3 linked regions of the Caenorhabditis elegans genome follow. The protein of the gene in region 3 purifies or fractionates together with the protein of the main gene of each other region. This does not show direct contact. Each region holds a gene or a part of one and is shown on either strand. Other genes may lie near its edges.

Region 1 (7,759 bases), on a different chromosome or scaffold from region 3:
TATCACCAAAAAACTGGAAATTTTAAACTGAGCCCAAACATGGAGCAATATGGAGCAAATGGAGAAAAAAATTTTCTCTAAACAAAATTTTTTTTCGAATTTTTCGAATTTTCAAAAATGTCTTAAACCACAAAAAATCAATTCGCTCGCTTCTAATAGAGGTAGATCAAAACTTTTGATTGGTTGATCTTTTCCCGGGTTACTGTAGCGCATGACCGGAAGCCTCTCGAAAAGCAACACAAAAACGCCGCCACGAAAAGGAGAGAAACAAACAGAAAATGGGCAGCAGCAAACTCTACCAGGTCCTCGTTTTTTGAGTGCAGGAATTTAAATATCCAGCAAATCGGCAAATTGCAGGAATTCAAATTTCCGGCTAATCGGTAAATTGCCGGAATTAAACATTTCTGGCAAATCGGCAAATTGCCGGAATTGAAATTTCCGGCAAATCGGCAAATTGCCAGAATTGAACCATTCCGGCAAATCGGCAAATTGCCGGAATTGAAATTTCCGGCAAATCGGCAAATTGCAAGAATTGAAAATTTCCGGCAAATCGGCAAATTGCCAGAATTGGACCATTCCGGCAAATCGGCAAATTGAAGGGACTGTAATTTCCGGGAAATCACTAAATTGCCGGAATTGAACATTTCCGGCAAATCGGCAAATTTCCGGAATAGAAAGTTTTCATCAAATCGACAAATCGGCAAATTGCCGAATTTTAAATTTTTGGCAAATCGGCAAATTGCAGGAATTGAAATTTCCGGCTAATCGGTAAATTGCCGGAATTTAACATTTCTGGCAAATTGGCAAACTGCCGGAATTGAACATTTCCGGCAAATCGGTAAATCGGCAAATTGCAGGAATTGAAAATTTCCGGCAAATCGGCAATTTTTCGAAAATCAAAATTTCCTGCAAATTGGCAATTTTTCGAAAATCAAAATTTCCTGCAAATCGATAAATTGCCGGAATTGAAATTTCTGGCAAATCGGCAAACCGGCAATTTTTTGCTAAATCCGGGGTACTGTACTTTTTTAGGAAATGGGTTACGGTATTTGATCCTAAAAGCATTGGTGGGATCGGCGTTACTGTAATACATATATAGGAGATGGAATATAGTAGCTGTAGAAGAACTTTTGATAGATTCGGGGACTACAGTAATCCTACAGTACCCTCCACTGAGCACCAAGCCAATACCTTTTCAAAAAACGAAAATTCATGTTTTTCAAAACTACAGTAATCCTACAGTACACGTGCATCGACAAGTCCAAAACCAAATCCAAATTAAATACTATACAGAATTCTTCAAAACAAAACATACAAAGTGAGGTCTAATTTCGATTTCGCCCCCCGTGAGGGCATATCATCTGCAAAACTATATCCAGTTTTACACTTTCTCTCTGAAAAGTAGAAGGTCTTTTTATTACAAAACAGCAGAAAAGTAGCTGTGGTCTATTCTCCTTGAAGGCATCCTTTGGTGACTTCTGACTTTACAACTCGCTAGGTTTCAGAGATATCGAAAAAAGTTAACCTACAAAGTTAAAGAACACATTATTACGTGTGTATTGTTAATTGGTAAATTTTTGGTAATGTCAAAGACAACCGAGATATACTGTCTTAAAGTTGGGACACAATTCTGCAAGTTTTTCAAAACTTTGGCAAGTTTCTAGAAATTTCTAGAACTTTCCAGAATTAATTTCTGAAGTTTTTGAAGCTTTTCAAATTTTTTCAGACTTTTCCAGAATTTTCTAGAATTCTTTAAAAATTTTCAAAATTTTCCCTATTTTTCTCGATTTTTTTAAAAAAGTTTCCACAAAGTTTCCAAAATGTTGGAATTCTAGAAAAAGGAAAACACTATATTTTCCCAGAATTACAGTACCACTACAGCGCTCCTACAGTATCTATACATCACCACTACAGTATTACTACAGTACCCCTATAGTACCCCTTCAACACTACCACAGTAACCCTACAATATTACTACAGTGTTATTACAATACGACTTTAGTACCTCTACAGTACTACTACAATACCCGGACCGTATCCCTCTACAAACCACAAACCAATACCCTTTCAAAAGACGAAAAGTCAATTTTTCTATAACTACAGTAATCCTACAGTACTCCTGTAGTACCTCTACAATACAGTACCCCTACGGTACCATTACAGTACCCCTATAGTTTCTCTACAATACTGCTACAGTACTCTGACCGTATCCCCCTACCAACCCTAAACCGATATCCCTTCAAAAAACAAAGACTCGTTTTTTCCAAAACTACAGTAATCCTACAGTACTCCTACAGTACCACTACGTACTCCCATAGTAATCCTACAATGCCCTACGGTACCGAACTGTACCACTACTGTACCCTAGCACTAACTTCCACTTACCCGAACCCAATTTCCCTTCAAAAATGAAAAACAGGATCTACAAAAATACAGTAATCCTACAGTACTTCTACGGTACCATTACAGTACTCCAATAGTACCTCTACAGTACTACTACAGTACCTTGACCGTATCCCTCTACCAACCCCAAACCAATGTCCCTTAAAAAAACAAAAACTCATTTTTTCCAATACTACAGTAATCCTACAGTACTCCTATAGTAATTTTTTCACCAAAAAAACTATAAATTTTGAAGGAAACCAGTACGAGAAATGGTCACCAAACTGGTTAGTCAAAGTATTTTAAGGCTGAGGAATGGGTTATATCAATCGTGTGCGTGTGTGTGTGTGTGTGTCAACTTAATCGAGAGTAGTAGCTGATTCTATATTTAGTTACTATGTGTACTTGGCCGGTACTATTTTTAGAGTACTAAGGGGGGAGTCGCGGTTTTTTTGCTTTTGTTCAAATGGTTTGTTTGTGTTTTGCGTCTGAATTGCCTACCGTTTAGACTAGCAGGTAGGCTCAGAAAATGACTGCCTGCCTACGCGCCTGCCTACGCGCCTGCCTGCCCACGCGCCTGCCTACCAAACTAGTTCAACTCCTCAAATTTTTATGGTAAAAAACGCAACGATTCTAGCAAAAACACACCAAAACTCGGGGAACCAATCAGCGACGCCTACTGCCTACCTCTGATCGCGCGGGAATTCAAATTTTTGAATGTAGCCTTTGAACTTTTTTCGCCCAAAATACCGACTTTCAACTTCCGGGTAAGCTCTCTATAAATGAAACTGTCTAAACCTACAATTTTATTGACAAGTGCGCACTATTTTTAGGGCTCGGCGAGCCACCACCTGGTCAGACTAAATATTTTTCATTTGGTTTGTTGATTTTTGTCGGGGTTCTCCTCGTTTTTTGTCCCCCATTCAAATGATACTTTAAAGAAACATTTGAAGACGCTTTTTTATGAGGGGACAGCTGCAACTGCAGTTGTGCGGCCGAGCGCGATTGCTACCTCATGTTGAAAAAAACTGCAAACTTCTAAAAAACTCTTTTTTCTTTTTTTAAACTAGTCTTATAATGGCCATATTTTCTCTGTGAATGTTAAATTTTTTGGCCAAATTTGCAAGCGCGCTCTATTGTACTTTAGAAATTCTGAGCTTGAAATACAATTAATATATAATTAACCAGCCGTGGACCGCACCTCCGGCGCGGCCCCCGACTTCTGGGGCTGAAAATTAATTTTTTATGAAACTACCGTAACCCTACAGTATTCCTACCGTACCACTATTGTACCACTACAGTAGCTCGACTATATCCCTACACTAACCCTAACTCACTATCCCTCCAGAAGCCAAAACTTCACAAACAAATAGATAAAGTATATATTGCACGAAAACGTATACAAACATTGAAAATCGGGGGAAAAATTTGTGAAGGAGACAGAGAACGCTCCGACTATTGCTTCTTGCTTCTCAGATTTAATGACATTGCTTTTTTGATTTCGCGGAAATAGCAAATAGTCCATTTTGTGCGGAGTTTGGTGCAATCATCGGGAATTCACATTTGAATCACCGCGCAAAACGAGAATTGCGTCAAGGGCACCGAGAATGCGCTAGCAGTCATCCTTGCGCTATCTTTGATTTTCGAAGTTTGAATTATTTTAATTTTAAAACTATTTTTTAATTTTTCTTTGGATTTCATATTCAATTTTCTAAATTTTCAGCAAAAATGAATGCGCCAGCTGCTTTCGAATCATTTTTGCTTCTCGACGACAAGAAATTCTACATTGAAAAAGACACAAAGGTGAGAAAAATGATACTCAAAACGAAATGATAAAATTAATTTTCCTAGGTTCCAAATGCGGCGATCTTCACAATCATGAAGGAGGATCACACGCTGGGAAATATGCTGAAAATGTTAGAAAACCCGCATAATTTCGAAGATTTTCGATTTAATTCCTCAAATTTCCAGCCAACTTCTCAAGGACCCAGAGGTGCTGTTCGCCGGCTACAAGAACCCTCACCCGTTGGAGCACAAGATCTTGCTCCGAATCCAGACAACCAACAATACGACGCCAGCTGATGCTCTCACAACGGCCATAACCGATTTGGTGGGAGAACTCTCGTTGCTCGAGCATCGAATCGACGCGGCCATCAAAAAGTGCACTCAATCCGGCGACCAGGAGCGTGGATATAACTGATTTTTCACTTTTTCCTTACTGATCTCTTACTCTGAACTTTTATAAATTTTAAATTACGCTTTTTTCGCTTTTTTCTGCGTTTTTTTTCTCGAATTTTCTGGGTTTTTGCCCATTTTTTATTTTTTGAAACACTAAAATTCCCCCAAAAGCGCCCCCATTTCCCTCAATTTCCCTCAGATGACCGCGCCACTAATCCGTGTGAGCCGGAAGCGAACCGCAGATCCCCACGATGCTCTGATTCTGCACACCAAACGTGCAAAACACGGCGGCAATCCGCTGGTTTTCACGCTTTACAAGGCCGCCGGCAACGATCTGGAGCTCAATGGAGCCCGTGTGCTGGATCTTCCAACTCAGGAACATGGGATGGAGTTGGCTGACGAGGAAAATCCACTAGGATTTGTGAAGGATGAAGCCGTCGGGCTCGTTGGAGAGGTCGAGAAGAACGTTAAAAAGCCGGCGGAGCAAGTTTCGGTGAGCGCTGAGCTCACGGAGCCCGTGGAGCGCGCAAAAATTGTATTTCCAGCTCAACGGCCGCCTACTACAGCCCGTCACCGACGGCGGCGGCGCCGCCGCCGGCAGCAGTGACGACGTCGTATACGACTACTACGCGATACACGAGAAACGGGGCAACCCAGAAGTAGTGGGAAACCTGGAGCAGGACATCGAGGGAGCCGATTTTCGGTTCGCCAAGCGTGATGAGCTGGATTTGGGCGACGAAGATGACTCCGATGGGCCGCCGGCTGATGATGAAGACGATTCGAATGATGAGGATAACTGGCGGAATGACTATCCCGATGAGGAATCCTATGATGAGGTTGGAGCTGCTGAATTCTGTGAATTTTCCATTGAAAATCTTCAAATCCCCAGATGAAAATGTTGATTTTCAGGACAGCGACAATGGGGATCCGTACGGAATATCGGAGCCCGACCATTGGCACGCCGGCGAGGAGGCATACTCCGACGAAAGCTTCCACAGACGGCTTCAAAAGTGTGTAAAATTGGATTATTGCGCTGAAATTACGGCTTAAAACCTGGAAATTGAGGCAATTTTCACAAAAATGCTTAAATTTTAGCTAAAAGTATTGAATTTAGCTATTTTTCCTCGTAAATTTCTGAAAAATCGGCTAAAAATTCTATTTTCCTTTTTTTTTTTTGCGAAAAACTCGAAAATTCCGGTTAAAATTGCTCATTTCTCTGGAAAAAAAAGCGGCTTTGATGTATTTTTCCATAATTTGTAGTTGAAACCTGAAAATTTAGCTGAAATTATCTATTTTTCACTGTAAATTTCTGGAAAATCGTCTCTAAAAATCCTATTTCTCCACTAAAATCGCTCATTTCTCTGGAAAAAATGCGGCTTTGATGTAGTTTTTCCATTAAAGTTCTCAAATTTCAGCTAAATGTAGTGAATTTGTGGTTGAAACCTGAAAATTTTTAGTTGAAATTAGCTATTTCTCCCTGTCAATTTCTTAAAAATCGGCTAAAAATTCAATTTTCCCACTAAAATAGCTCATTTCTCTGGAAATAATGCGGTTTTGATCTAGTTTTTCCATTAAATTGCGCAAATTTCAACTGATTTTGCCAATTTTGATGCTAAAAATTGAAAATTTACATGTGAAAGTTTGAAAATTCGGCCACAAAACCCCGGTTTTCCTCCAATTTTTTGAAAATTCCGACTAAAATCGCTTATTTTTACTAACTTTCAAGTAATTTTCATCAATTTAATTATTAAAAACTTGAAAATTAGCTATTTCAACCTGAAAAATTCTGAAAAGTACAACTTTTTGGTGATAAAATGTGGCGGTTTTCAATTTTTAGATGGAAATTCTGAAAATTCTATCATTTTTCAGCATGGACCTGAACGACGAACGCTACGAAGCATTTTATGAGGGTGACGAGACTGACGAAGACGCCGATTAATACTGTTTTTCGCCTTTTTTTTGTTTTTTCAGTGTTCAAGCTTACTTATCAGTAACTCACACACACACATATTTTCAATTTTTCATTCATTTTCATTCATTCATTCACAACTCTGAAATTCGTATCATGAAGACCTTATTTGTGCTATTTCTCGCCTTTTTTCTGCTTGTTGAAGCTTCTTCGGAAAGCGGAAAACGCGACGTTTTTCACAATATTGAGAACTTTTTCAAGTTCCTTTGCGTCGTTTTTCAAGTTTCTCAGGCGTCGGTACAACGTGAGAAATCGAGAAATACCTCGGAAAGCACAAAGAAATTTCAGAAAACGACCGAAATCACGAGAAATCGAATCTTCCAGGCTGATTCATAGCATTGCAAAGCTGAATTACTTGGCTTTCAGCTCATCGGGCAACTGCACTGAGCTTAAATAATTTTTTTTGTTGTAATTTTTAAAAATTTTTCATTCAATAAAAGGTTTTTACTCAATTTTACTGAGCAAAATTTATCGATTTTTTTAAAAATTTGATGAATTTACCCTGAATATTCAAGGAAAAACCTGAAAAATCGAGACTCGCAGAGGATTTCCTCCGCGGAAATTCCGAATATCAGAATTTATTTTCGAGAGACACCACGAACTTGCGACACCACGAAGTTTTTGAAGAAACAGAATCCGCAGGCAAAGTTTTTTGTTTTAGCACATTTTAGGTTTATTTTGGTTTTATTAAAAATTAAAATAACAATTTCTTTTTTAAAAGTTTAGTTTTTTAGAAGTAAATCTTAATTTCCGGTGAGATATTCTGTAGTTTTTGCGTCCATGGTGGTGTTCATCCCGCACCGCCTCCTCGCAAGCGCGCTCCACTGACATTTCCCGCCGCATTTGGTTCAAATTTCACAACCTTCGAAAATTGACGATTTCCTTCGTTTTTCTTCATTTTTTCGCGTTCTTATAAGATTTTTTAATTATTTTTTACTTTCAGAGAATGGTCGACGTTGAGAAAATGTCGGATGCAGAGCTCCGCGCCGAGTTGAACGTTCGCGGGGCGAATGTTGGCCCGGTAACTGGAACGACTCGTTCGCTGTACGAGAAGAAGCTGAAGAAGTTGCTTTCCGGTGGAGCAAAGGTATTTTAAAAGGATTTAGAATACTTTAGATTTTTTTTTTATAATTAAATTTTCAGACTCCTGCTCGTCCTACCGTCGCCAAACCAGCACCAAAACCAACTCCAAAATCCGCTCCAGCTCCAAAATCCCCAAAATCGCCGCCG
Region 2 (8,266 bases), on a different chromosome or scaffold from region 3:
TTTATTTTTCAAAATTTAAACCTATATTCACCTGAAAAACGTATCCTTTGCTTACACTTTCAGCAATCAACTTCGACAGAATATCTCTCTTATAAAGACGAAATGATCCTGTTAAATCAGATACACCTGGATTCAGCAGAAACTGAGCCAAAAAATTGGCTCCCTTGCTGATCGTCTTCCTCTTCAAATCCCATCCACTAACACCACCTCCGTCCTTGTAGCGTGTTCCTGTCACGATGTCGAGCTGAAAAATAAATAAAAAAATTGTATTTTTATGCTTAAAAAAGGCATTGTGTTGATATAAATGTGATGGTTTTTTAAATGTAATATTATGTCCTCTATTATCGGAAACTTGATATTAGGTGAGACATTATTTTCGGCAAACGCACAAAACTGGCGCATTTCAACATGATAATCAGGGGTGTGCGGATAACCGACTTTTTCGGCTAACAGATAGATCGGCTAATGCCGACTTTTTTGAAGCCGGCTAACGGCTATTCACTACAACTTTTTTCGAACGAGGGACGAGGCAAAAAGGTTTCTAGGCCATGGCCGAGTCCCCGACAAGTTTCAGCGGCCATTTATGTTGCTTTGTTTTCCGCGTGTTTTCTTTCGTTTTTCACCAATTTTCCCCATTTTTTCTTATTAATACTAATAAATAAATATTTTTTGCAGATGCTAAAACAATTTCCAAGTGAAAAAATTGTGTATTGAGTCTGTAAGTAACGGTGAAAGTGGTCAATGTAATATGATGGATTACGGGAACACAAAACCCAAACTTTTTCCCACACATGATACATATGCTGCTCTGATGCTGAAACTACCTGATTTTCATAACGAGACCACTGAAAAAGTTTTGAGGCTTTCAAAATTCAACTTTTTTGGTGAAAAAGTAGAGATTTTCGCACAAAAAGTTGAATTTTGAAAACCTCAAAACTTTTTCAGCGGTCTCGTTATGAAAATCAGGTAGTTTCAGCATCAGAGCAGCATATGTATCATGTTTGGGAAAAAGTTTGGGTTTTGTATTCCCGTAATCCATCATATTACATTGACGACTTTCACCGCTACTTGCCGACTGAATACATATTTTTTCATCTGGAAATTATTTTAGCATTAGCAAAAAAATTTATTTATCAGTTTTGATAAGAAAACACGGGAAAAATTGGTGAAAAACAAGAGAAAACAAAGCAAGTACAAAATGTCGTAAAATGCGGTGTTTTGTGTGCAAACACCGATTTTTCGCATTTTTTCTCGGCCCTCGTTCGAAAAAAGTTGCGGTGATGTTCACTATTTTTTAGCAAATTCAGTGATGAACGACTGTTCAAATAGAAAAAATCATATAAAACCCCAACATTTTTTCCAAAAAAAAATGTGTTAGTGAAATTAGCAGACCGGGAAATTGGGCTAAGATCGGCCAACATCGGCTACCGGATAACTTAAAGTTTAAATTAGCTAAACTGGCAGAAATTCGGCTGATAGTGAATCGGATATTATCAGCACACCCCTGATCCAACTGTGCCTGAAAGTTACAGTTTGCCGAAAAAACTTTTAACGGCACCTTTTCGTCAAACGACAATTTTCAGGTACTATTTGAGGACTTTTTTCAATTTTTTAACAGAAATATATGTTATTTTCAGATAGAACATGCTGTGTTCTACATTTCTATATAAATTTTAAATGCTTAACGTTGCATAATAAGTTCTTGCCATATTTTTCTCAAATTGGAAAACTTTCATCAAATTAACTATTATTTAACTAAAATAACATTTGTACACCTATAAATTTTGAAATTTAAAAAAGTTCTGTTTTTTTAACAATTTTTAGAAAAAATGTACGAATAATGTATACCTTATACTTATGTTGAAGCGCAATCATTTCCGGAATGAATTTTGGATGATGAGAAAGATCTGCGTCCATAAGAATGATAAATTCTCCACGTGCAAACGATAATCCATGTGAATAGGCTGTACCAAGTCCAAGTTTTCCAACTCGTGGCTTGATCAGAATCTTATCGTCTCCGTACTCCTTTTGAAGAAGTTTTGCAATGCCTTGAGTACCGTCTGGTGATGCATCGTCAACGATAATCACTTCATGTGAAACTTCTTTCAGATAATTTTCAATTAACCAAATGCAAATCGGCAAATTTTCTTTTTCGTTGTAGGTTGGCAGAATTATCGAATATTTCGGAGTGGATGTCATAATAATCTGAAACATAAAATTCCTTTTGAATAATCTGACTAGGGATCCCTGTAAAAACTTGGTGAATAAGAGAAACAAAAAGTATACCAATCGGAAGCTTGTGTTAAATACTGGCTACTCGAAATCAAAACAAAATTAATCGGTCTCAAAGTCTTAAAAACACTAGTGTCACTGAAAATTAAAGTTGGAGTACCGAAATCTAAGACTTTGCTTTTTAGAACCAAATGATTCAAAACTACCGAATTTCGTAATGAGAAGTTTTGAAATTTTCTCAAAAAAAAGTTATGGGTCAAAGTTTTAGAAAAAGCTCATTTTCAGCTAAAATCACATTTTTCCACCTTCTCGGTGTGACACCGTCTGGAACTAAATTTTTATTCAATTATCAATCTTTAATAAATATTATGGTCCTTTACTACGCGCTTATTCTTTGATTAAAGTACATTTTCGGTCAGTGGGTCACAAAAATGTACCTTTTATTGGTCCCCCCAATCGATTTTTTCACAGAAAAAAAATGATAAATTTCACTGTTTTTGAGCCAGAAATACGATTTTTTGAGTAAAAAACGTTGAAATTAAGAGTTTTCAGTGAAACTTCACGCTTCTTATCGCATTTTTCCATTTTTGAAGTCAAATTCGTTCTGAGATCGGGTTTTTTACCCGAAAATTCGCGTTTTTCTCGGAAAATGGCTGAAAATTCGGCGTTTATCGCTGAAAAATGAGGTTTTTAGAGGTTTTTAGCATATTAGTATTTTCAAGCTAATTTCGACCGGAAACTCGATTTTCCTCCACAAACTTCTTGGTTTCCTATCCACCAAGCTGTTACGGGGTTCCCTAGTGAAATAGAGATAATTGATATAAAATTGCGACTAAACGCACAAATCAATATTAATCAGATCGAGAATAAAGTCGATATTCATAGTAAATATAACGAAAACAAAAAATCTAACAAAAAAAAAGAAATACTACATGCTAATAACGAGATTTTTCTTATTTTTTCGTGGATTTCTGCCCGGGTGCCGACCAAAACTTCATATACTCCGACTCATCGAAGGTGTCATCGATAACTTCCTGAAAAAACCATTTTTAATTTGAAATCGTTAATTATATAATTACTGTTTTTGTGATCTTGGCTTTTGGTTTACGAGCAGCCAGCCGTTGTCGTCGTTCATCCTCGCTCAACTGTTTGAGGTCGACGGCAGATTGGAATGTCTGAAAATATGTACAATTAAAAAACTGATTAAATATAAAAACTGCAATTAAATATGTATTTTTCAAAAAGCAACCTGTCTCGGTTCAGCGGCGGGAACCATGATTGTCGAACCATCCGGACGGATAAATTTAACTTGGTACCGATGCAAGTAGTCTCGACGGCTGATTTTTCCCAAACTTGCTCTCCACGCATTATTTCTCTCTGAAAATGTGAAATTCACGCGGGAATAGTGATTTTGATTTAGGGAGAGGAAGGGGGAAATGGTTTATAAAAAGTCTGATTTTGAGGAGAAATGAATGGAAATAATAGTAATTGCAATTTTCACATGAAAAATGTTGTACGAAAAATGTTCTGCCACGTTTTTTTTTTGAAAATAACCTTCAAATGATATTTTTCGACCTTTTTCCTTTACTAACCTGCTGTGATGGCTTTTGAGCAGCTTGTTAGCAAGTTTCGCATGGAAATTTGAGTGTTCATCTGCAAAAACATTTAGAAATTCAAGAAAAATCACAGGAATACACTGAAAAATCAATAAGTTTTAATAAAGACGTGTATTTTTGACTTATTCGAGAGGAGTGCACAAACAAATTCTCAGCGGAGCGCGTTTGCGGCGCTCACTTTTCGTGTCACTTACGCGGCAAATGCAAATAAAATTAAAATAAGAAATGAGAAAAATGCGAGAAATTATTGAAAAAGATAAAGGAACTGATTCGAAACGGTAAACAAACTTTATAGTATATATAAAGTTTATACACGGCCTCCTGCGGGTGAAACGCGCAAGCAAGTCGCTCTCGTCATCTTTCACCTCTCACTTGCGCACGCTCTTTCGCTCAAAACGTGAAAAGCGGCGAAAAACGGAAGATTTTGAACAAAGCTTCAAATTCTTGCTAATTTACGTTTGAAAAAAATATTAAAATTGAATGAAAAATGGATTGTTCAATAAGATTTTCAATAACAATTTTAATTTTTGTAGTTCAATATACCAGAAATCACGATAAATATTATTTAAACGTGCGTAACTTTGCGAATAAGAAATAAAACAGGAAGCAGTCAATTATGAAAATAATATTTGAACAATTTTGAACATTTCATTAGTTTAGCGTTTTTTGATTCCGTCACTGGTTACTGAGTTATGATCTATAACAGCTAGCGAGGTTATATCAAGGAATTTAACTTGTACGTTTTCCAAAAGAGCATAGCTCTCTCGTGAGCATAGATATCAAAAAACTTTTAGCCGAAGAAATGCTCAGCATACAAAACACTACAATTCTTGATTTTACTTTTTTTAATTCTTTTATTATTTAAAAAGATATACGCACTTAAAAACACAAGTACTACGTTTTTGATAAAATCCCATTGCGCATACATTACCACTGTTGTAACTACTCAATGGCTTCACTTACGAAAAAGTTCTTAACTGAGAAATGTTGGCTACATTATCAACTTTAGTTTTCTAGTTGAAAAGTTTTTCATATCTTCCATAGTTTTCAAGATGCTGCTTACTGAAGACAAACTACAGTATAAAAAGTTGGAATAGGTTTTGTTTTTTTGGGTCTCCTCTTCCAATTTAGCGCATTTCACGCGCAGGACGCCGTATTGAAAGTTGAGTTTCCGCTTACCATTTGATTAAAAGCCCGCAAGTTTCCGTGAATTTACGTGTATTTATTGCACACGGTGTTTGTGGATTTTGAAGCTACAGTAACTAAATTATCGGGGAATTTTGACCTTTAATAAAGTTTTCGATTTTTTTGGAAAATTGAAAAAAGTGGCCAACTATGATCCGCCTATTATTCACAAATGTTAAATAAGTGTGTGGGGATCAGGGGTGTGGGGCAAATTTACCAAATTTACCGCAAACATCAAAAATTGACAATACAATTTTAGCCGAAACTATTGATTTTGTCCTCAAAAATTTTGTAAAATGGCACAAAATTGAGCTGTTTTGATGTTGAAGAAGACACACTACACGGAACTTGTTTGGAAACCAGATGTGTGTTAAGAATTCAGTAGTTTTGGTGCTCTAAAGACTTTGAAAAATATAACATTTTAGGAGTTTGTTAAGCTCGGCAAATTTACCGAACTTGCCGAATTTGTCGTGCACTGTAAATTTGGCCAACTGGCTATACCAGTTAATTCAAATCTTGCGTTTTCAACTCGACTTGAGTATTTTAAAGTCGATGGACGAAGAGATTTTGTAAATTATAACTTTTTAACTTTTTTTTGACCATAACTTTTTTTGAGAAGTTTTACAGAAGGGTCAGTATGAAATTCAGCGTTTTCAGACAATTTTTAGTCTCATAAAGTAATTTTTAAAAAGTTAGACTACACCACTTTTAAGCACGGCAAATTTGCCGAACTTGCCGAATTCGCCAAGCTCGGCAAATTTTGAGATTGCCGCACACTTCTGGAGAGGTCAGCGGTGGGCGACAAATTTGCCGAATTTGCCGTTTGCCGAACACGGAAAATTTCAAAAAAGAAGATTTGCCGAATTTGCCGAGCAGCAAATTTCGAAATTTGCCGCACATATCAAAAATTTAACATTGCAGTTTTGACCGAAACTATTGATTTCGTCCCCAAAACTGTAGTAAAAGGACACAAAATTAAGTTATTTCGATGTTTAAACAGATACACGACACAGAACTTACCGTATTTCCTCTATTAGTATGGTCTCCCTATTAGACTTGCACTCCCTATTAGTATTACCCCTCGGAGACCCTCCGAAAATTAGTATTACACTCCCTAATAGTCTTGCGTTTACTTTTTTATTGCAAACCCGTCTCGCCAATTTGAGGATTTCAACAACATTTTTTGCCTATTTTGCAACAGTTTCTCACAACATTGAAATTTTTGAAATTGAAATTTTTTTGAGATTGAAATTTTTAAGCTTATATGTTACAATTAAAATCATATTTTCTGAATTTTTACATAAGATTCGAGTTTATTCAGAAAAAACTAGTAAGCTCAAAGTCAAAAAAAATGTTCTGAAAATTAGTATTGCACTCCCTATTAGTATTGCAAGCGGGAAGACCATCGAAAAATGGCATTGCAGTCATACTAATAGAAGAAATACGGTATTCAGATACCAAATGTTTGTTCAGAGTTCAGTAGTTGTGGCGCTCCAAAAAACAGCAAAAAATATCACATTTTTTGGATTTTGTTAAGCACGGCAAATTTTGAGATTGCCGCACACCAGGGGTGTGCGGCAAATTTGCCGAATTTGCCGAATTTGCCGTTTGCCGAGCTCGGCAAATTTGCCGAATTTGCCGAGCACGGCAAATTTCAAAAAAGTAGATTTGCCGAATTTGCCGAGCTCGGCAAATTTCGAAATTTGCCGCACACGTCAAAAATTTGACAGTACAATTTTGACTAAAACTATTGATTTTTTAGCCAAAAATTTAGTAAAATGACACAAAATTAAGCTATTTTGATGCTTAAACAGACATACTACGCGGAACTTATTCAGAAACCAGATGTGTGTTAAGAATTCAGTAGTTTTGGTGCTCCAAAAAACATAAAAAATATCAAATTTATCCGAGTTTGTTAAGCACGGCAAATTTGCCGAATTTGCCGAATTTGCCGAGCTCGGCAAATTTTGAGATTTGCCGCACACCCCTGCCGCACACCCCCGGTTAAGATGTTAAATTCGCCATAAAATTTCAACAAAAAAACTAAATTCCAATTTTTTTTTTCAAAAAGTGAGTCTTATCAATTTCCTTATCAGTGAAACCGAAGGTGCTCGCAGGTGCCTCTGTTGATGTGTACTCTTGTGTCTGATTTCGCCAATCACACACTATTTTCTCATGAAATTTGACATGTTAGTCAACACATCGAACACAATTTTCCACCCTATTCTCACATCATCATGTCCTTATTGCAATTTTTTTCGACAACTTTTTACTTACAAAAAATTACTTTTTCCAGAAAAACAAATGCTACGAACGTTGAACAAAAAACATCAAATCACAGAAAATTCGGAACCTCCTAAACCGCCTCCGGAAATTTTGAAAACATCGGCTCAGTCTTCTTCCCAAAAGTCACGTGGCATTGGGACATTTGAGCCGAAAACAATTCCACGTGACATTGTGGATCCTAAGAAAACTGAGAGAAGAGCTGAAAAAGTTGGAATAAATGGTTTGTTTTTAAAACAATGTTTTCAACTTTTTTATTCATTTTCACAATGTTTGTCTTGGTCACATCGTAACTTTTTATTCAACTTCTCTTGTCATTTTGAGGCTTACAAAATATTATTCGCGATAATTCGATGTTTGAAAAAACTCTTGCACAAATTAAAGTCGCGATTTCAAGCTGAAATATGAAATCAGGGAAAGGTCTTTGAATTTTTTCACTTACTTCAGAAATTTGGAATCAGAGGAAAATTTGGAATCATTTAAAAATTTAAAAATTTCGGTAATATACCTTTAATGAAACCTCACAATTGAGTAAAAACTTTATCAAGTTATCAATGCAAAAACTGCATCGTACCTAATTTTTTTTAACTGAATGTTGTTTTTTGAGAATACTGTAGGTGGCAGTTTTTCTAACGAGATAATAACTACAGTTTGAAATAATATTTTGCAACATTATATTTGAGCTAATGAAGAGTAGCATATTGAAAATGATGTAGATATTTGTTGGATAATATTCCATAATTAGTCAATTGATAGTAAAACGTGGCAAGATATCAATTGAATACATTGAATACACTGAATACAGTAGACCTCCATCCATAATGTCGCTCCATGATTTCAGTGTCTCAGCCTCCTCCGGACTATGGAAGAACAGTGTGGATAACAGATGCAACAGACGGGTTCCGTGCCGCCCGTATAATTGATTTATCAGCAACTGGATTCACACTTCG
Region 3 (7,560 bases):
GTTTTACTCATTTTCAATTACTTTTTAACAAACATTTTGCGTTTGTCTTTTTTATTTCTTTCATTTTCCGAGGAAAAAACATAGAAAATGAAGAAAATCAGTCAAATAACGAGAATAAATAAAATTAATTAATAAAAATAATGCAAGCGCGCTCAATCGAACGAATCCGATTGGTGGAAATTCAAAAATAATTAGGTGAAAACTGTTATTTTTCCAATTTTCAAAAAATTATATAAAATCTAGAAAATTTTTTTGAATTTTTATATCATGATATTCGGTCATTGTGGCCCCATAGGCGTGTTTTAAAGCAATTTCTCCACTGAGCGTAGTCCACCTTTAAGGAGACCCAACTATTATCCGTGGAGCGCGCTTGCACCACGATTTCAAAAAAGCACATTTTTCTGCGTTTACATAATAACAATATTTCACATCTCAAATTGCAATCTATCTACATGTGGTTGAATCTCATCAATTGTTGGCTGAAGCCTGAACTGGAGCACCGAGCAAATTGGAAGCTCATAAGCCAAAAGATCGGATTTCGGCTCGCGGAGCTGATCTTCGGCCTGTTCGATGTACGATTTGATCGTAGACTTCTTGTAATCATTCATTTTAAGGGCGACGAGGAGAGCGGCTCCGGCGACACATTTTCGATTGACTTTTGAGATTAGACCCTGGAAAAAAATTGATTTTAGATTTAAATAGATATGAAAATCTCAAAAAAATTGAAATTTAAAAAAAAACCAGCTTTGATAATAATTATAAACTGATTTTAGCTTAAAATCGACTATAAAATATTTTAAAATTTTTAAAATTGCCTACAGTAACCTTAAAGGCGCATACCCTAATTGCTTTACAAATTTCGCGGCGAGACCCATCCTCCTCCAAATGTGGCCTCCCTGTAACCATTTTCAGATTTTTTCTTGAATTTTCCGACAGTTTCTCAAAGTTTAAGCTTTTAAATAATTTTTTAGACGTAATTTATGCTATTTTCTATTTTTCGTTGCATTATGTCGATAATAAACTAAAATTAAAGTTTTTTGGCCTAAAATTCGCTCTAAAAATTTAGATTTTCTCTGGAAAAAAAGATTTTCGATTTAAATCGATTAGAAACTGTTTTAAAAACTTAAAATTGTCTACAGTAACCTTAAAGGCGCATAGCTTAATTGCTCAACGAGATTCGCGGCGAGACCCATCCTCCTCCAAATGTGGCCTCCCTTTAACCATTTTCAGATTTTTTCTTGAATTTTCCGACAGTTTCTCAAAGTTTAAGCTTTTAAATCATTTTTTAGACGTAATTTATGCTATTTTCTATTTTTTGTTGCATTATGTCGATTATAAACTAAGATTAAAGCTTTTTGGGCTAAAAGTCGCTCTAAAAATTTAGATTTTCAATGGAAAAAAAAGATTTTCGATTCAAATCGACTAGAAAATGCATTTAAAAAGTTTGAAAATTGCCTACAGTAACCTTAAAGGCGCATAGCTTAATTGCTAAACGAGATTCGCGGCGAGACCCATCCACCTCCAAATGCGGCCTCCCTTTAACCATTATCAGGTTTTTTCTTCAGATTTTCGCAATTTTTGAGCTTTTTAATCACTTTTTAAGCTTAATCGTTGCAATTTCGTTCTTTCTAACCTTAAGAATAATTTTCTCAAAGTACACATAAGCAGTTGCCACCGTATACACATCAATTCCATTCGAGACCCCAAGTTCTGCCATTTCTCGCTTCAAACTCTTCATTTTGCTCAATGTCAGATGAATCATTGGGTATTTCGCCTCGAAATCCTCATTTATCACTTGTTTCGCCCTCTCCGCCGATTCACAATGAAGTGTGCTTGCCACGCAACACTCGTGACGGATTACAGTCCGTTTTCCGATTCCCAACTCGGAAAATGCGATCGGATCGTACTCATCGATGACTTCTGATGATGGTTCATCTGATCGGCTGGCGTCTAAATCGCATTTTTCATCGATTGAAGTTCCACGTTCATAGCTTGAATCTCGATTTACGGCTTGTGGAACTTCGATGGTTTCCGCAAACATTTCCTCCGAGGTTTCGCCGTTTCGGAAGCTTTCCTGTAAAAATTTTCGATTTTTTATCAACTTTTCACCTAAAATTCACATTTTAAGACTCAAAATCTGCTCAAGTGAACGAAAAATTCCGAAAAAAAGGTTTATTTTAGTGAAAATCTTCAATTTTGCCAGTTTTTAAGTTTCATAAATCCATTATTACAGACCTTAACGGTGGAGTAGCGCCAGTGGGGAAATAGCTTTAAAACACGCCTATGGTACCACAATGACCGAATATCATGATAAAAAATTCAGAAAAATGTTCTAAATTTTATATGATTTTTTGAAAATTGAAAAAATCTCAGTTTTCCCCTAATTCCTATTTGAATTACCGCCATTTGGATTTGTTCGATGGAGCGCGCTTGCACGTTTTTAAATTAATTTATTTTATTTTTTGTTATTTTCCACCGATTTTTAATGTTTTCGGTGTATTTTTGGTGGAATTTTAGAGAAAAAGTCAAAATAAATGCAAATTTTTGATTAAAAAGCAAACAGGCGTAAAAATCAAAAAGTAACGCTTTTAAACGATTTCGAACCTGAATTAATTGATTTCACTGATTTACGCCTGTAAGAGTGCTTTTTAATTGAAAATTTGCAATCATTTTGACTTTTTCTCTAATATTCGAGCAAAAATACACCGAAAACATTAAAAATCGGTGGAAAATAACAAAAAATAAAATAAATAAATTTAAAAACGTGCAAGCGCGCTCAATCGAACAAATCCAATTGGCGGAAATTCGAATAGGAATTAGGCAAAAACTGAGATTTTTTCAATTTTCAAAAAATCATGTAAAATTTAGAACATTTTTCAAAAATTTTTTATCATGATATTCGGCCATTGTGGCCCCATAGGCATGTTTTAAAGCAATTTCCTCACTGGCGCTACTCCATCTTTAAACAGTACGAAAATCAACGATATAAAGTGAAATAAACGAGCAAAATTTGCAAAAATACGAATTTTCGCCTGCTACGACACGAAAAACTCGGTAAAATTGAAGATTTTAGCTAAAATTCGCCTTTTTTCCGCGGATTTTGAATCTTAAAATTCAAAATTCAAAGCCTCACCCTCCGCTCTTTCCTGGAAATCGAGGCGGGCGACTTGTCGAACAGCGTGAAAAACGGCGAAGGATTCCGCTTTCGGCGAATCTGCCCCAGAATTACTTGATCTTCAGCGTCTCGGAAGACAAATGGCCGCAGCTCTTCTGTTGATAAGTGAGCCTGATGCCGCATGCGATCCGAGCTGGAAAATTGGATTATAAGGTGAAATTATGGGAATTTATCGTATTTTTTCAAGATTTTGACCTAAAGGCGCACGGATTTTTAGCAAATTGCAGCGTTTTTTCTTACTTTCTGCTGAAAATTTGCGTTGTTTTCCTTTTTTTCGGTCTGAAAACTGAAAAATTTAACAAAAAAAACTACCACATGCTGTCTTTTCGCGTCGATGCACAGCTGAATAAACCCATGTGCCTTTAAGATCGCATAGCCGAAATTTCTGAATTCCTGCGCTTTTTTTGTGAAATTTTGTTAGATAATTGCCAGTTTTCGGGGAAAATTAGGTAGAAGATATAAATTATAGAGGAGATGTTAATTCTAAACCTTCCAAAAATCGATTTCGATCGGAATTTCTTCTTATTGACGGTTGTGTTGGCGAAAATCGGCGCCAGCGGATCCACGTAGTCGCTGTTCGGCGAGATATACGAGAAAACTGCCAGAGGCTGGCCATTCGTCGAGGTGCAGATGTAAAATCTGAAAATGTGGGTTAGTTCGCAACACGGAACGGTTAGTGTGGGGGATTTTAGAGGATTTTATGATGGTTGAACTCACCTATCTGCATGGGTAATGGTGCTTTTGAGCCTTCTCAGAAAACTGAACTGATTTGAAGAACAAGATGGTGATTCTGAGCGAAATTCTGTGAAAATTTTGAATTAATTTATTTTATTTCAAGTTTTGTAAGCTTTTATAAGCTCGCCAGCTCACCAATCAGCCCACTATCTTCTCTCCCGACGCCTTCTTCAAGAATCGGAGATCTACTGTTTGTGGCGGTCATTGAATAGATCACGTCGTCGGAGCTCATGATTTTCGCGATTCTTCGGAAGATTGAAGTTCTATAAATAGAGAAAATTAATTAATTATATTGATTTTCAACTAATTTTCACTTTTTCTGTGGTGTCTCCGCGTATTCCTGCGGCAAATTCGACGAGCTTAGCCGTTCTCCGAGTGAAGCGGATGTTCCGAGTGAGATCACTGATTCATTGTTGCGGATGGTGGTTGTGGAGCTTGCGCCGTTTGAAAACTTCTTTTCCGTTGGAGATATCTGAAAAAATTATCAATTAGTTACGAAAATCGCTGAAAAACCAAGATTCTCACCTTCGGAAGGCCTTTTGTTTGGAAAATTCGAAGATTTGTGTCATTGTGGCTTCCATCAACACTGATATTTGATAAGAAATTTTGTGCGACGAGAATATGATAGTTACTCTTCTTTTTTACCATCTAAAATTGGAAAAACGAAAAGAAAAAGCTCGGAAATCCGATAAGAATTGTGTGAGTACGGTGTGCAAGCGTCTGCAACTTGTCGTCATTTATGGTGTACCAAGCGTGGTGTTTGCGTACTATTCGAATTTCGAAAAATAATTTCGTCGATTTTAGCCTTTTTCATCCAATTTTCCTGATAATTATCATGTTTATTCTTTGAAAAATTAGTTAAAAAATGTTATAATTAATGTATTATCTGAATTTTCGATAGGTGGAAGTTGAAAAATGAGCTTTATTTTCTATTTTAAGTAAAATCTGTTTCTTTGATGATTTTTCCATTCTTCATTTTCATTTCCCCCTGCAAATTCTCAATTTTTCAGAAAAATGAGTAAGACACATCCACCAGAGCTCAAAAAGTACATGGACAAGGAGATGGACTTGAAGCTCAACGGAAACCGTCGCGTCTCTGGAATCCTCCGCGGTTTCGATCCATTCATGAACATGGTCATCGACGTATGTTTCTTTTTCCGTTTTTGTCTAATTTATTCTAAAATTTAATATTGCAGGAAGCTGTCGAGTACCAAAAGGACGGAGGATCCGTCAACCTCGGCATGACTGTCATTCGCGGAAACTCCGTCGTCATCATGGAGCCCAAGGAGAGAATCTCCTAGATTTTTCGATCTCCACAATTTCCTGTCACTTTCTCAATGTTTTCATTTTCAAATTTTGATATTAAATTTTTGAACCTTTTTTTTGATAATTTTTGATAACTACGTGGTCAAAACCCACTTCTCATCTCTGATTCACGTGAATTTCGTATAGATAAGAACTTCGCAAATAGAATCAATTCACAAACAAATGTACCAAAAGTTATGTTTTATTATTGCAGGCATAAAAAAAATCAATCGTAAAGCTTTTTTTCAGCATTTTGTTTTTCCACGGCTCAAATTGAACGAAATAGTGTTCATTTTGAAGAGAGGCACGAAACAGAGTAACAAAAACACGGAGAGACTTGTGTATCCCTCTTCTCTTTCCACTATGTGCGGTCGACGACGCTCTCCACATTTTTCTCTCTTTATTCTTCTCGTTACTCTTACTCGGCACAACAGCAGCAAAAAAGAATACTCTTTCCCCACTTCTTATCTCTTTTTCTGCCGACCTATTTTCTTCTTTCAAAACAGAAAAATGTTCCACACACACGCCTATCATCATCCGAAAGCTGTACGAGATGTGCTTTCTCATCTTTCCGTACTCTTGTGGCTGCAGCCGTCGAAGAGTTGAAATATCAATTTTCAAAACGCGGCAGATTCTCAGCCGGAATTCAGTGAATTCGCTTGATTTCTCGCCAAAATATAGAAATCAGACGATTTATCTGAAAATAACACCCATTTCAGTTGAAACATGCGAGAAAATGCTGAAAAATAGCCTGAATTTGCTAATTTCAGGCCATTTTTGAGCTCTTCCTCAAGTGTTTCGACTGAAATAAATGTTTGTTTTAGATAAATCAAGTGATTTTCTATAATTTCACATCAATTTTAAATGAATCAACATGTCACAATAGGTCATTTTGAAAAATTGGCGCCAATCCCCAAACCTGATCTGGATTTGAACAAGAGTTTTCTACTTCGATTTCACATTTTGCTGAGAAAAACCGAAAATTATCGATGTTCTCTTTTGAAAATTGAACGCTTTTCAGTGATAATTAGGAAAAATCACCTTTTTTCAAGTCGAATAATTTCAAAAGCTTCAGAAAATCCAATGTTTTGACTCGAATTCAGGAAAAACCGGAAGAAAATCGCGAAATAATATAAAATCCGAATAAAAAAAACGCGATTTTTTTCAATTTTGGCTGAATTCTCCACACTCCAACTGATTGATCGTTCATTTTTTAAAGGAATTTAGCCAAAATTGCAAAATCCCGATTTTAAAAATAAAAAATTAATTCTGTTATGATTCCGCGTTTTTTATTTTGTAATAATTCCCATTTACGCCGTCTTTTAAAAATGCAGACCCACAATTTTTCTGGTGAACATTTCAAATCAATTCAAATTATTTTGATCTGATCTCCGGCGCGAATCACTTGTACTTTGTTCTCTCTCCTCCCGTCTCCTCCGTGGCACTATGTCATTCTGAAGTTGTTTCAATGACAAATCACTCACGCACACACACACACACAATGGATTGTGCCCTTTGTGTTGCCGTTTGACTATCATCGATTGATTCCATTCCCGTTCCGTTTTCGCCGTGCTCTCTCTCTCTGGGTTTTTCGTCTTCTCCCGGGAACACTTGGCCAGTTATCACTCGCTCTTTCTGTCCTCCTCTCAACAGCTATTGGCTACTACTACTACTGCTGCTGCTGCTGATCCGGCTCCGGTTGGCTATAGGCACATTTTGATGCGATTTGTGTGTGTGTGTTCTTTGGAGATTCAATTTGAAGAACTCTTCGCCTTTTTTGTATAAGTTTTCTTTTCGGGGGTGAAAAAATTCGCATCTTTATTCTCTTTAAGGTGGTGTAGTCTAATTTTTTTAAAAATAGCTTTATTAGACTCAAAATTGTCTGAAAACACCGAATTTCATAGTGTAACTTCTCAAAAAAAGTTTATGACGGCTCCAAAATGGCCTAAAATTAGTTAAAATTTGAAATTCGACCAACTTGTCAAGCGGCTGGAAACAAAATCACCGTCAAATTTTGAGTATACAATGTAATTATCTTGCGTTTTTAACTTCATTTAGGTATTTTAAAGTCCATGGACGGCGAGATTTCACAATTTTTTTAACCAAATCTCGCCGTCCATCGACTTTAAAGTACCTAAATCGAGTTGAAAACGCAAGATAATTGGATTGTATACTCAAAATTTTACGGTAATTTCAAAAAAAAGTTTCCAGCCGCTTGACAAGTCGGCCAAATTTAAAATTTTAACAAATTTTTAGACCATTTTTTCAGCCGTCAAAACTTTTTTTTTGAGAAGTTTTCAAGAAGTTTCATTATGAAATTCGGTGTTTTCAGACAATTTTGAGTC

What was found.
Region 1: the proteins of snr-7 (region 3) and rpb-11 fractionate together in Caenorhabditis elegans (co-fractionation; one large-scale study listed by BioGRID). This does not show direct contact.
Region 2: the proteins of snr-7 (region 3) and mrpl-55 fractionate together in Caenorhabditis elegans (co-fractionation; one large-scale study listed by BioGRID). This does not show direct contact.

What each region holds. Positions count from the first base shown.
Region 1 is NC_003280.10:14,055,980-14,063,738, forward strand, and holds rpb-11 (putative DNA-directed RNA polymerase II subunit RPB11), read left to right. Parts: upstream 1-4,105; 5' UTR 4,106-4,110; coding exon 4,111-4,185; intron 4,186-4,233; coding exon 4,234-4,298; intron 4,299-4,353; coding exon 4,354-4,582; 3' UTR 4,583-4,645; downstream 4,646-7,759. Other genes in the region: W01G7.4 (putative RNA polymerase II nuclear localization protein SLC7A6OS), read left to right, coding at 4,760-5,053, 5,106-5,396, 5,470-5,570, 6,430-6,499; lem-2 (LEM protein 2), read left to right, coding at 7,476-7,616, 7,673-7,759. UniProt on the Caenorhabditis elegans protein: DNA-dependent RNA polymerase catalyzes the transcription of DNA into RNA using the four ribonucleoside triphosphates as substrates. Component of RNA polymerase II which synthesizes mRNA precursors and many functional non-coding RNAs.
Region 2 is NC_003282.8:439,616-447,881, reverse strand, and holds mrpl-55 (39S ribosomal protein L55, mitochondrial), read right to left. Parts: upstream 3,898-8,266; coding exon 3,825-3,897; intron 3,610-3,824; coding exon 3,482-3,609; intron 3,408-3,481; coding exon 3,312-3,407; intron 3,267-3,311; coding exon 3,186-3,266; 3' UTR 3,096-3,185; downstream 1-3,095. Other genes in the region: dpm-1 (Dolichol-phosphate mannosyltransferase subunit 1), read right to left, coding at 32-244, 1,849-2,199; hum-8 (Myosin motor domain-containing protein), read left to right, coding at 7,338-7,539, 8,158-8,266.
Region 3 is NC_003279.8:2,722,094-2,729,653, forward strand, and holds snr-7 (putative small nuclear ribonucleoprotein G), read left to right. Parts: upstream 1-4,920; 5' UTR 4,921-4,924; coding exon 4,925-5,053; intron 5,054-5,106; coding exon 5,107-5,211; 3' UTR 5,212-5,289; downstream 5,290-7,560. Other genes in the region: Y71F9B.6 (Cyclin N-terminal domain-containing protein), read right to left, coding at 426-671, 1,634-2,074, 3,134-3,308, 3,665-3,814, 3,893-3,977, 4,046-4,173, 4,225-4,382, 4,436-4,558. UniProt on the Caenorhabditis elegans protein: Plays a role in pre-mRNA splicing as a core component of the spliceosomal U1, U2, U4 and U5 small nuclear ribonucleoproteins (snRNPs), the building blocks of the spliceosome.